Cricetulus griseus: one gene and its partner. The protein of the gene in region 1 purifies or fractionates together with the protein of each later gene. This does not show direct contact. Links are inferred from orthologs where the notes say so. Each region holds a gene or a part of one and is shown in the gene's direction. Other genes may lie near its edges.

Region 1 (6,119 bases):
AATAATAGAAAAGTAACCAGTTAAGATACCAGTTAAACTAATTAAAATGGGTCTTAAGAACACAACATAATAAAGTTCTATGTAGCACAATAATTGAGTTACAGTTGAGGAAGTTAGCATGAATTAAAATTTGATGTTTGTTATTATGGAATGATTGTAGGCAAATACCTTTAGGGCTTGAGGTAAGAGGTAATAACGGTCTGCTGCTTTAAGGCCACAGTTGTACAATTTAAAAGTAACTCAATAGCACTTTTAAGCTAAATGGTTTATTTTAGTTTGACCTTGGAGAATAAATAGTTGACTCTTTAAGTGACCTTTTTTCTGAGACAGGATTTCTCTGTGTAGTACTGATTTTCTTCGGACTAGCTTTGTAGACCAGGCTGACCTTGAAATACTTGCCTCTGCCTCCCAAATGCTGGGATTAAAGGCATGCGCCACCACTGCCCAGCAGATTCTTTATTTTTTAAAGGTAGGGTGTGTGTGTCTGTGTGTCTGTGTGTAGTATGTATAGAAAACTTGTGCTTCACAACTTGTGGAGGTTTGAAGTTGGTTTTTCTAATCATTACACTGAACTCAGGTCCTTGGTTTACAAGGGAAATGATTTTTGACCCAGAAAATAGAATACTATTGATTTTATCTGTGTAAACTAATTTGATTTTCTAATTATATTTCTAATATTAATTTATGTATTTGCAAAAGATTGATTGTAGAAAGGCTTGCTTTGTTCACACGTTACCGATGTTTTAGGAAATATTGCATAGAAATCACAACCATTGTAGCTATCTCTCATGCTTTTCTGGGTTAAACCAATTTAGAATTGTAGGGATTGGGAAAGTATTTAAAAATGACTATTGTTTTGTTTTCAGTTGTTAAATTTAGGGTTTTTCTTGTAGGTGTCTTAATTCTGAAACAGACTGAATATACTAAATCTACGTTCCATAGCAAAGCTGTGTATTCAGTCTGTTGAGGTATCTGGGCTAAGAATGAATATATATGTATCACAGAGGAGGTTTGATACTTCCTGGATTTTGCTTTGTTTGCTTTATTAGAACATTAAGGTATTTTAAATAAATTTCTTTTAGATGATCATATACATATACATTGTAGCCCACTGATTCTCAACCTGTGGGTTATGACCCCTTTAGGGGGTCTCTCATCATATATTCTCCATATCAGATATTTATATTACAATTCATAACATTAGCAAAGTTACAGTTATGAAATAGTCACAAAAATAATTTTATGGCTACATTAAAGGATTGCAGCATAAGGAAGGTTGAGAACTACTGCTGTAGCCATTAACGTGATATACTGTTGTGTTTTTCAACCATGCCAGATTGATCTTGTGAAAATTATCAAGAAATATTTGTTGATATCCTGAGCTATCTTGAATTAGTAGTGATGTTAATTTTTACATTGTTAGGATGAAAACTTGCTTCTATAACAAGTTATTTAGGAGATTTTCATAAATTTTAAAATCATTTTGGGTGACCTGTTGATAACAGAAGTAGTTGTTTAATTTATTGACTGTGAGTATATATGCAGACACTGAGATTTATCTATCTAAACTCAGCTTGTTGGAATGCCTATAACAGCCAGGGATTATAATAGGCTGTTTGTAAAGAGATCTTAATATTAGACAACAGTCTTATCTTTTTGTAAAACTGTTTATTCATATTGGCTAAACTTGTTTGAAGTTTTTATTTGATGGTATAAGTGTTTGAGTTAGCACAGCAGAAGTCTATGTTTTTAATATAGATAATCTTAGGGTAAAGTTGAACTGTCTGTTTGGGACAATCTCTATTATGGAACTGTTTTCCGTTAATGAAGCCATTTTTTCTTTGTTCTCTGTGTTACTGTTATCACCCAGAAATTCTATAGCTAAAGGTGGTATGGTAAGGAATATAAAAGAAATTGACACGCTTTTGCATTTGTGAAAATTGAAAATAATCCAGAAAAAAAATTGTTATCTGTATTAAACTTGGACACTTGCTTGCCATTCCTTAAAGAATACAACTTTATGTAACATTTGCATTCTATTATGTGTTGTATATCTAGAAAATAAAATATAGGAAAGTATTCAGAGGTTATATGTAAATCTAGGCTAATTTATATAAGACTTCAAAATCCATAGCTTTTGGTGTCTGCTTAGTATTCTAAAACCAATATTCCAAGGTTACCATATTCAAAAGATCATGTCTTTCAGAAATGTTGATTCTTTATAAATTTAAATAAATTGCTTTCTAGAAGCTTGTTTAAGTAGGCATATTAATTTGGGTGTATTCCTTTTCTTTGCCTTGTCCACATACCAGACAACATAAACGAGAAAGCTTATTTTGCCTTACCTTTTAAGAAGGGATGGGGATCATCATGAAGAGTGTTTGGTAGTCAGAAGTGTGAGACAGTTCTATCTGTGGTGAAGAAGTACAAGTAAAGTTCAGGTGGTGTTTCGATTACAGGACATGAGCCTGTGGCATAATGACACCAACATCTAGAGTGAATCTTTCCCTCTCACTTTAAAGTTTCTAGAAACACCTTTAAAGAAACATACAGACGTTTTTCCATTAGCACTCATTAGTTTGGGGTAACTTAAATACAGTTTATTGGTCACTCTCCTATGCTATTTGTATATATTAATTGAAAATTACTTAAGCCAGGTCAGTATTCTTGGCACTGGCTTTTTGTTTATTTTACTTGGTTTTAATTTATTAAATAATTATGATTGGAATACTGTACAAGTTAGAGATTTAATAATATGCCTGTTTTGTAACTTCCTTATAAATTGAGGTACATTTTAGTATTAGTTGAAGTCTTGAAATTGGTAGTTTAGAAGTTGTCATTTCCCGAATATTTGATACTGATCTAGTTTTGTATATTGTAACTTCAAATACACTAAATTTTTGGAAATAACAGACTGAATTAATCTAATAATTAAAGTGATTTCAGAAATATAGGGTTTCCTATTGAAAGACTAGCAACTGATAGTTTACAAAGGCGTAGAAGCAGCACTGAGGTATTATAAGTAGGTATTTATTTGAACAAATATTGTTGAGACAAGAACTAGTGCTTTCAAGTTCCCCTAAAAGTTAAAACTAGAATTTTGTTGCATCTAAGGTACTTAATCACAATTACTTGGTCACTGAATGGCCTGGCTCATGTCAGTAACTCAACTGAAAACAACAATTGACAAATGCCCTCAAAGAGATGAAAAATTTCTGGACATCTAGGAACCAGTGTGGCTTATTAGGTGCTGTGCTAGATTGTTATGACATCCACTGTTTGACAGTGATTTTTCTTTCATGTACTTAAAAGTAAATTCTTGGTAGTTGATTCCAGAACTGGTGGTGGTTTATTTTTAAAAGAACATTAAAGAAACACAAACTATATAAATAGGGACCAGGTGTTGACTCTTGCCAGCACTCAAGAGGCCCAGGCAAGCCAGTGCTATATAGGAAGTCCTTGTATGAAATTTGACTCACATGTATGTAGTGAACGTGTACTTCTTTGCTGCCAAATATTTTTAATACATTTAGAATTCCTCTTAGATGAAATAAAGAGAGGGGTTCACTAATTAGGTTTTAGCATTTGTATGGGTCATTCATTGTATGTCACAATCAGCAGTTGTGTTCTGTTTCTCAGTATATTATAGTATTGTGTAAGATTTTATGATAGTTAACTTTCATGTACTCATAAAACTGTTCTTGAAGCTTAATTTTTGCAGTTGTTAACTTAGGTTAGGATGGTTAGTTTTAAAATAACATAGCTGAAACTTCATCAATGCTGTCTTTATCATTATAGGTATATGACTGACGGTATGCTGCTGCGTGAAGCTATGAACGATCCCCTTCTGGAGCGTTATGGTGTAATAATTCTTGATGAGGCTCATGAAAGAACATTGGCTACAGATATTCTCATGGGTGTTTTGAAGGAAGTTGTAAGACAGAGATCAGATTTAAAGGTGAAGAAGTGATTTTCTTTTTTTCTTTTTTTTTTTGGGGGGGGTTGTTTTTGTGTGCCTGCATGCCTGTAGGAATGTGTACATGAGTGCAAGGCCAAAGGTATTGGATTCCCTAATATAATAGGGTGGGAGTAACTACAGGGCCATCAGGCCCTAAGAAACAGTTTTTATGTTGAGTGTTGTGGCATCTTCATGTAATCCCCAGGCCAGGGAAGTGGATATGGGAAGATTGTGGGCCTTGGTGGCCAGCCAGCCTGAAGACTTCTATGTACTTTAGATTTTCAAAATAGGCTGTGCTCATTAAAAATAATGTAGGACAAATAAGCAAAATTTTATCTGGTCTTACTGGGTTTTGGGTGTGTCTTACCCCCTTACGTAGATAGGATTTATGAGAAGATATCGATTACTTGCCAGATAGTCATATATTTTAAAATATAAATAGGTAACAGTTTATTCCTTTCTGTATTTTATCATCTTTTTTTTTGTTTGTTTGGTTTTTTTTGTTTGTTTGAGACAGTTTATTGCTTTGGAGCCAGTGTAGATCATGTTGGTTTCAAACTCACAAGAGATCCATCCACCTGCCTCTGCCTCCCAAATGCTGGGATTAAAGGTGTATGCCACCAACACCCTCCTAGTTGTTGTTTTTGAGGTACAGCTGTCTTTTTGTTTCCCGGTCTTGTCCTGGAATTGGCTCTGTATATAGACCAGACTGTTCTTGAACTCACAGAGATCCGCCTGCCTCTGCTTCCCGAGTCCTGCTTATTTTTTTTAAAAGCAGGGTTTCACTATAAACCCTGGCTGTCTCTGAACCCACACAGTGATCTATCTACCTTCTTCAGTGTCTTGAGTGTTAGGATGTAAGGTGTGTGCTGAATGTTTTCTTTATCTTTAAGGACTGTCTTTTGGGGAGGTGGTGGGTAGGTAGGTGAGACAGAATCTTCTATATTATTGGCTGTCTGGAATTTACTATGTAGACCAGGTTGGCCTCAACTCCACAGATAAGCCTGCTCATGTCTCCTTAGTGCTGGGATTAAAGATGGCATATACCACCACACCCAGCCTTAAAGGCTGGCTGTCTTTAAAGTAATGACTTTTTTCCCTTTGAGATTATGTAAAAATCTTTAAAGATAAAACTTCAAAAGTAATTTGCTGTTTTTCTCTTACAGGTTATAGTTATGAGTGCTACCCTAGATGCTGGGAAATTCCAGATTTACTTTGATAATTGCCCTCTCTTAACTATTCCTGGCCGAACACATCCTGTTGAGATTTTTTATACTCCAGAACCAGAGAGAGATTATCTTGAAGCAGCCATTCGAACTGTTATCCAGATACATATGTGTGAAGAGGAAGAAGGAGACCTTCTCCTTTTTTTGACTGGTCAAGAGGTATCATCATTTGCTTTATATAGTTTTTGTTCAGAAATTTCTATTAGCCAGCAACTCTAAACTTACATGTCAAAGGCTGGCCATATTTTTCCCACCGTACAACGTAATTGAGTGTATACCATGTTTAACCACCCTTTTCTGTATACTTATATTTAAAGGGTTGCTTATTGAAGAAAAATATACAATTGAAATGGTAGTTGATTGTACTTTAAATATTTGGGTGCCTTTTACAGTTAAAGGTTTGAGTCTTGTTCTAGAAATGTCTTTCTCAAGTATGATCAGTAGATTTCTGGTCTGGAGGAAGAGAATTTGTTTATGAAGTTCTTGTTTCTGTTCAGTGTTTTTTGAAATAAGTGAAGTTTGAGGAGGAAATACAAGAGTTTGCATTGCCTTTCAAGCTCTTGAGGTCATTTAAGAGGAGTGCTTATAGTTCCAAAAGATCCCTACTAAGATATACAATGACAACTAAACAGGTTGTGGAAAATTGTTCTAGTTTTATGCTGCACCAAAACATTTTTATTGTGTCCAGATCCTATAGAACTATTAGCCAGATATTTTAGCAAATGCCAAATTCAGTTGAGAGTTGTAAATTTTTGATGATTTTTTTTTTAAATCCTGTAATTGTCTATATGATTTGTGCCTTTGAAGTATGACTTTTCATCCTAAATACTATTTTATGTTGTGAGTTGGAAAATTTGTGTTAGTGCCTGTGCATTGTAGGACATTTATCAGCATCTCAGCCTTTCCTTATTAGGTCCATGCAGCTATACTTTGTG
Region 2 (5,562 bases), on another chromosome or scaffold:
CTAATTTAAAGTTGGCTTTTGTTTTTACCAACCCAGAATACTTCAGGAGAATTCTCTCCCATGTTTTCTAAGGAATGCATCTAAATGCATGTGGTATTCCTTTTTTGATTAACTCTGTGTGTGGTGTCGCTGTAGGAGCGTCAGGAAGCAGAGAAAATGTTCAAGGGCAAACGGGGTGCACAGCTTGCAAAGGATATTGCCAGGAGAAGCAAAACGTAAGATACGGATATCCAACTTAACTCTACTTCACCTTCAGAAACACTATCTGTCTGGCAGTTTGCCTCCTACAAAATTAAACCCAAAACTGGTTAGTGTGGTATTACATTTGAATGATGGTGTACATCTTGGGAAATTTCTACCAGGTTAGCAGAGCATATATTTCGGTTTACCATCTTAATGTGGTGTTCATCCTGCTTTCTCTATTGGAAGATGGATTGGGTGGTGTTTCTGAAGGAGAGAGTGCTTGTATCAGTTTGTTAACAAAGATAAGATACTACACTGGTTGAATTACTTTCAAATCTTTTGAAAGTAAGAGAAGCAGCCTGCACTAGTCAGAGTGTAACAATTATATTCTCCCTCCCAAGTTTTAATCCAGGTGCTGGTTTGCCAACTGACAAAAAGAAAGGTGGGCCATCTGCAGGGGATGTAGAAGCAATCAAGGTAAGGATATGTATGTTTGGGTTATCAGACTGGAGAGAGCAGAGAGGTGGGGCCAGGGCAGTGGTGTGTCCTAGTGCTAAACATCGTAGATCCCATTATCTCATAGTTGTGAGGACTCTGCTATTTCTAGGCCCAGAAAGGCTACCTTAAAGATACTATTTGACCAAATTTTGACTTGAACTAATTGCATGAACTAATTGAAGGCATCTATGTTTATCTCTTTCACCCAGGATACATTTACTTCTTGGAGCAGTTAGTTACTTTGTTGTTCAGTCTTAGTTTCTCTGCTTCCCAAGATTTGCTGGCTGACAAATCCTGTTGAAGTATCTGTAGAAAATCCAAAAGTCTCCAGTAACAGAATTCCAAATAGATACTTAACTTGAATTTTAGGGCCCTTGGAATGATTGGTTCTTCTCCTTTGTAAGAGCCCGAATCCCTTCCTAAATGTTGGCGTGTTTTCTAAGTTGATTTTTCTTGCGCCAGTGAAGTTCTTCTCCCAGACAGTTGTGTGGTTGATTTTCTAGGGGAAAGTTGCTAGGAATTTCTGTAGTGTCTTTTCGGTGGTTGTAATCATCCATCTCCCTTTTCCTGTGCTTTCCAGAATGCTATAGCAAACGCATCAACGCTGGCTGAGGTTGAGAGGCTGAAGGGCTTGCTGCAGTCCGGCCAGATACCTGGCAGAGAGCGCAGATCAGGTCAGAAAACTATTCTGTGTGCACTTCCAAAACATCACACTTGGAATGACTACAGAGGAATACCTGTCTGGCATGATCACACAGGCCTGGAATCCCTATATTTGGGAGGATGAGGCAGGAGGATCAGGAGTTGAAGGTCATACTTGGCTACAAAATAAGGTTGAGACCAGCTTGGGCTACAGGCAACCCTTTTCTCAAAAAAAAAAAAAAAAGAGGAAAGGAAAAATAGGAAGGAAAGAAGTAGGGAGTGGGGGCCAATAAAGTTAGGCCATTGGGATATTTATGAGGTCTTTACAAGTTGTAGCAAAACATTCTACAACATGGAAAGAACAAAGTTCTAGAGATGATTGTGAACTTCTAAGTCACATCCTATATAATGGGCATCTTGGTGAACTGATATTCCATATACAGTCATCCCATAAAGTAACAGCTTAAAAATTGCTCTGCCTGGTGTTTTTACTATATGTTGTCTATGTGTAGATGCACAGCTACTTACCTTTGTTTTACAGTTGTCTACATTGAGAACAGTGACACGTTGTCTAGGTTTATAATGTCTTACCAGATAGGTAGTTTAATAGCTTTTACCGTCTAGTTTGTGTAAGTATGCTCTCATGTTCATCTTCACACACACACACACACAAATGAAGTCTCCAGTGATAAAATTCCTGGAGCAGAGATCCCTGTAAATTAGTGGTAATTTAGTGGTTAATGGAACTGGCTACACTGAGTCTAAGCAGTACTGTCCTTGGGCAAGTTTCTTTGTCTTAGGTGAGTATTTGCATCTTTAATATTAAGATAAGTACTGACATCAAAAGGTTTGGGGGAGGATTGTGATAATTACACTTAGCACAGGGCAAGTTTTGGGTAGGTGTTAACTAGTGTAATGTTTGAATGCCAAGTTTGTCAGCAATTTGAGCATTAGAGGTACATTATTCAAATAAAGTAAATACATAGTACAAATTTTGGTATGAGTATCCCTGGGAATCACTACCACGACAGCTTTTCAAGGATCATTGTCTTTGAGCTGTTTTGTTTGTTAGTTTTGTGGCCCATTTGTTTAGCCATGGTTGCTTTCGTTAACATGGGGCAGGGGTGTTTACTGGAGCAAGGGCAACTTACAGTGACTACACTACTGAAGAAAGTGACTTCCTACCTCAGCAGCTGTTCACTGCCAGTAGCTCCTCAGGAAGAGGATATAAGGTATTTTTAAGATCAGTGCTGTTATGTGGTCCTTGGGCCCCTGGGGACATGCAAGGTAAATTATTTCTGTAATAACTCCCAAGATGCACTGGGAGGCCAAGAGCGGGTTTTATTTTCCAGCAAGGAGGTCCAGTGATGGTACTTGCTGTGTTCTCCAGTAAAATTCATATCAAATCCACTCACTGTCCTTGATGAAGAAATAGAAATGGTTTTCTTTAGAACTAAATTTAAGTGCCTGAGCAATCCCCCGCAGCTGACAGTGTTTATTACCAATGATAAAATTGCAGATTTTAAGCAAAAATTAAGGTTTAGAAAATTTAGGCTGGGGATGTAAGTCTGGTAGAACACTGCCTAACACACATGAGACCATGGCTTCAAGCTTCACCATTACTAGAAAGACAATGTAGGTCCACTGGTAAAATGTTGACATCTTCCTAGTACTTACGAACATTTCCGGGGAAATGAGTATAAGGTGTGTGCTACCACACCTGGCATTTTTGTTTTGTTTCTGTTTTTAAGAATACATTGGCCAAAAAAAAAAAAAAAATAGTTTTGTTTTTTTGAGGCAGGGTTTCTCTATGTAGCCCTGGCTGTCTTGGGACTCACTCTGTAGACCAGGCTGGCCTCAACTCTGCCTCCTGAGTTGTGGGATTGAAGGTGTGCTACTACCACCCAGCAACCAAAAATCTTAAAAAAAAGAAAGAAAGAAAGAAAGAAAGAAAGAAAGAAAGAAAGAAAGAAAAGAAAAGCTACCACAGATTGTGGAACACAGTTAAAAACAGTTGGTGTGTTCGTTCACCTTTTTAAAAAATTAATGTGTATGTGTCTGATGAGTGGACAAAATTGACACGACTTCTGGTTTTGTGGGTTTTTTTCAGGGCCAAGTGATGATGGTGAAGAAGAGCTGGAAGAAGACACAGTCACAAATGGGTCCTGAGCTCTGTGGCAGATGGTCTAATAGGCTGTCTAGGGACAAGTCTTGCTTTTTGAGCATGGAGTAACAGCCTTGCTTGTATCAGCAACATGGAATTTGTCAGCATTGCTGAATGTTCAGAACTACTGCTGGTAATTTTTTTAATATGTACCTTGGAATCTAAATGCCAGTTTTCTACAAATGGTAAAATAAAGGCCACTTTCTTGCTGCCAAATTATCTGTTGTTATGTTAGCTGTGAAGTATAAGGATATATTTAAGATGGACGTTGGCGAGTGTCTTAGTTAGGGTTTCTATTGCTGCAAAGAAACACCACGACCATAAAGCAAGTTGGGGAGAAAAGGGTTTGTCTTACACTTCCATATCACTGTCCATCATTGAAGGAAGTCAGGACAGGAATTCAAACAGGGCAGGAATCTGGAGGCAGGAGCTGATGCAGAGGCCATGGTGCTGTTTACTGGCTTCCCAGGAGGACCAGCAGCCCAGGGATGGCACCACCCATCTTGGGCTGGGCCCTCCCCCATTGATCACTTACTGAGAAAATGCCTTACAGCTGGAACTCATGGCTGTATCCTATCTGATGACTCTAGCTTGTGTCAAGTTGACTCATAAAACTAGCCAGTACAGGGAGGATGGTGTTTCTGAATAAACATTACTTCTGACTATGAAGTGTTACAGATTCTTTATAAAGACAAGGAGGCTTAAGACTAGACAAATAGGTATATCCTTTGACCTTTTTAATTAAACACACAGGAGTATCTAACAAATTTTAAATGATTTGAAAAATCCTAAGTAGGAATTGATGCTACAACATAAGCAAAATAGTCTTCCAGCCTGTGGGGACAGAGGCTTGGGGTTGTGGCTTCTCTGTGGGGCACACTTCTCTTAGCATCTAGCTATCTTAATTATATTCCTCATCTAGGAAAGAGTTTTCTTTTATGGTTAAATATTAGTGCCTTGATTTCCTATTCTGCCTTGTTCCCTTGAGAGCAATGTCTCTCTCTGAGCCTGGAACGAGGCTGTCTGCCAGCCAGTTCCAACAGTCCTTGTCTCCACCCAACAAGGCTTGTGGGCATGCATTTGGACAGACCACTTTTTACCTGGGTGGTGGGGATTTGAACACAAGTACTCAAGCTTGCATAGCAAGCATTCTTGCCCACTGAACTATCTTCCCAGCCCCTGGTTACAGTTTTCCAAGCTCCTTTGGTAATTCTGAATATGACAAGCATATTAAATAGTCTCTAGATGCTTTTCATTGATGACTGATAACTGATCTTGTGAGGCATATACCAGATACCTGAGATACAGTGGAACTGCTCCCAATGGTCTTGCTGGGGTGACTGGCCAAACAGTGGCTTCTGCTGAGCCCCAGACTTAAATTTAGTTTCCTCCCATGTTGGATTGGAGTCTGGTTTGCAGTATCCTCAGTGAGGCTGGCTGTACTGCTCCCATAGTCCTTCTGTTCATGTACCAGCTCCTGTTGCTGCTAAGACAGGTGCTTCCCTCTTTTGGCTGGGTCTGTGGCTTGATGGCAGTCGTGCTAAGACTGCAAGACCCCTAGCACCAAATAAAAAGCCAAATTCCTATTTTCCATAGCTTCATTGAGTCCTTTTTATGGATGAGACTTGGTCAACAGTCCCAGTGATGACAAGCTGGTGTCCTGGGGTACCTTTTTCTTTTTCTTTCTTTTTTTTTCCCCCTCCGGTTTTTTAAGGCATGGTTTCCCTATAGCTTTGGAGCCTGTCCTGTAAAACAGACTAGGCTGACCTCGAACTCATAGAGATCTGCCTATCTCTGCCTCTGAGCGCTGGGAATAAAGGCATGCACCACCAGCAGCCTGGGGTAACTTGTAATTGCAAATTTTTTAATTAAATGTAGCTTAAGTTTGGAACCCAGGCCTGGGCAGCACTTCAGCATTTGAAAATGATGGAGGCTGCTGTGTATCTGGACTGAACAGAACTGTGTTTAGTATTTGAGGTTGTGGGAAGAAAACAAGCAAAACCAGCACACCATTGCATCATGTGCCGTTGTCCTGATCAAGGACTAAGCTGGCTAGAGGCAAGTGAGGCTTCCTC

Evidence for each region. Proteins that work in one complex are often made in the same cells at the same time.
Region 2: the proteins of Dhx15 (region 1) and Snrpa1 fractionate together in Homo sapiens (co-fractionation; 3 studies listed by BioGRID and IntAct, with this or other methods). This does not show direct contact. The link is inferred for Cricetulus griseus from reciprocal best matches to the Homo sapiens genes DHX15 and SNRPA1.

Annotation. Positions count from the first base shown.
Region 1 is NW_023276807.1:120,421,178-120,427,296, reverse strand, and holds part of Dhx15 (pre-mRNA-splicing factor ATP-dependent RNA helicase DHX15), read left to right. Parts: intron 1-3,798; coding exon 3,799-3,958; intron 3,959-5,124; coding exon 5,125-5,343; intron 5,344-6,119.
Region 2 is NC_048596.1:131,202,373-131,207,934, reverse strand, and holds the end of Snrpa1 (U2 small nuclear ribonucleoprotein A'), read left to right. Parts: intron 1-135; coding exon 136-215; intron 216-584; coding exon 585-660; intron 661-1,261; coding exon 1,262-1,355; intron 1,356-3,433; coding exon 3,434-3,492; 3' UTR 3,493-3,706; downstream 3,707-5,562. UniProt on the Homo sapiens protein: Involved in pre-mRNA splicing as component of the spliceosome. Associated with sn-RNP U2, where it contributes to the binding of stem loop IV of U2 snRNA.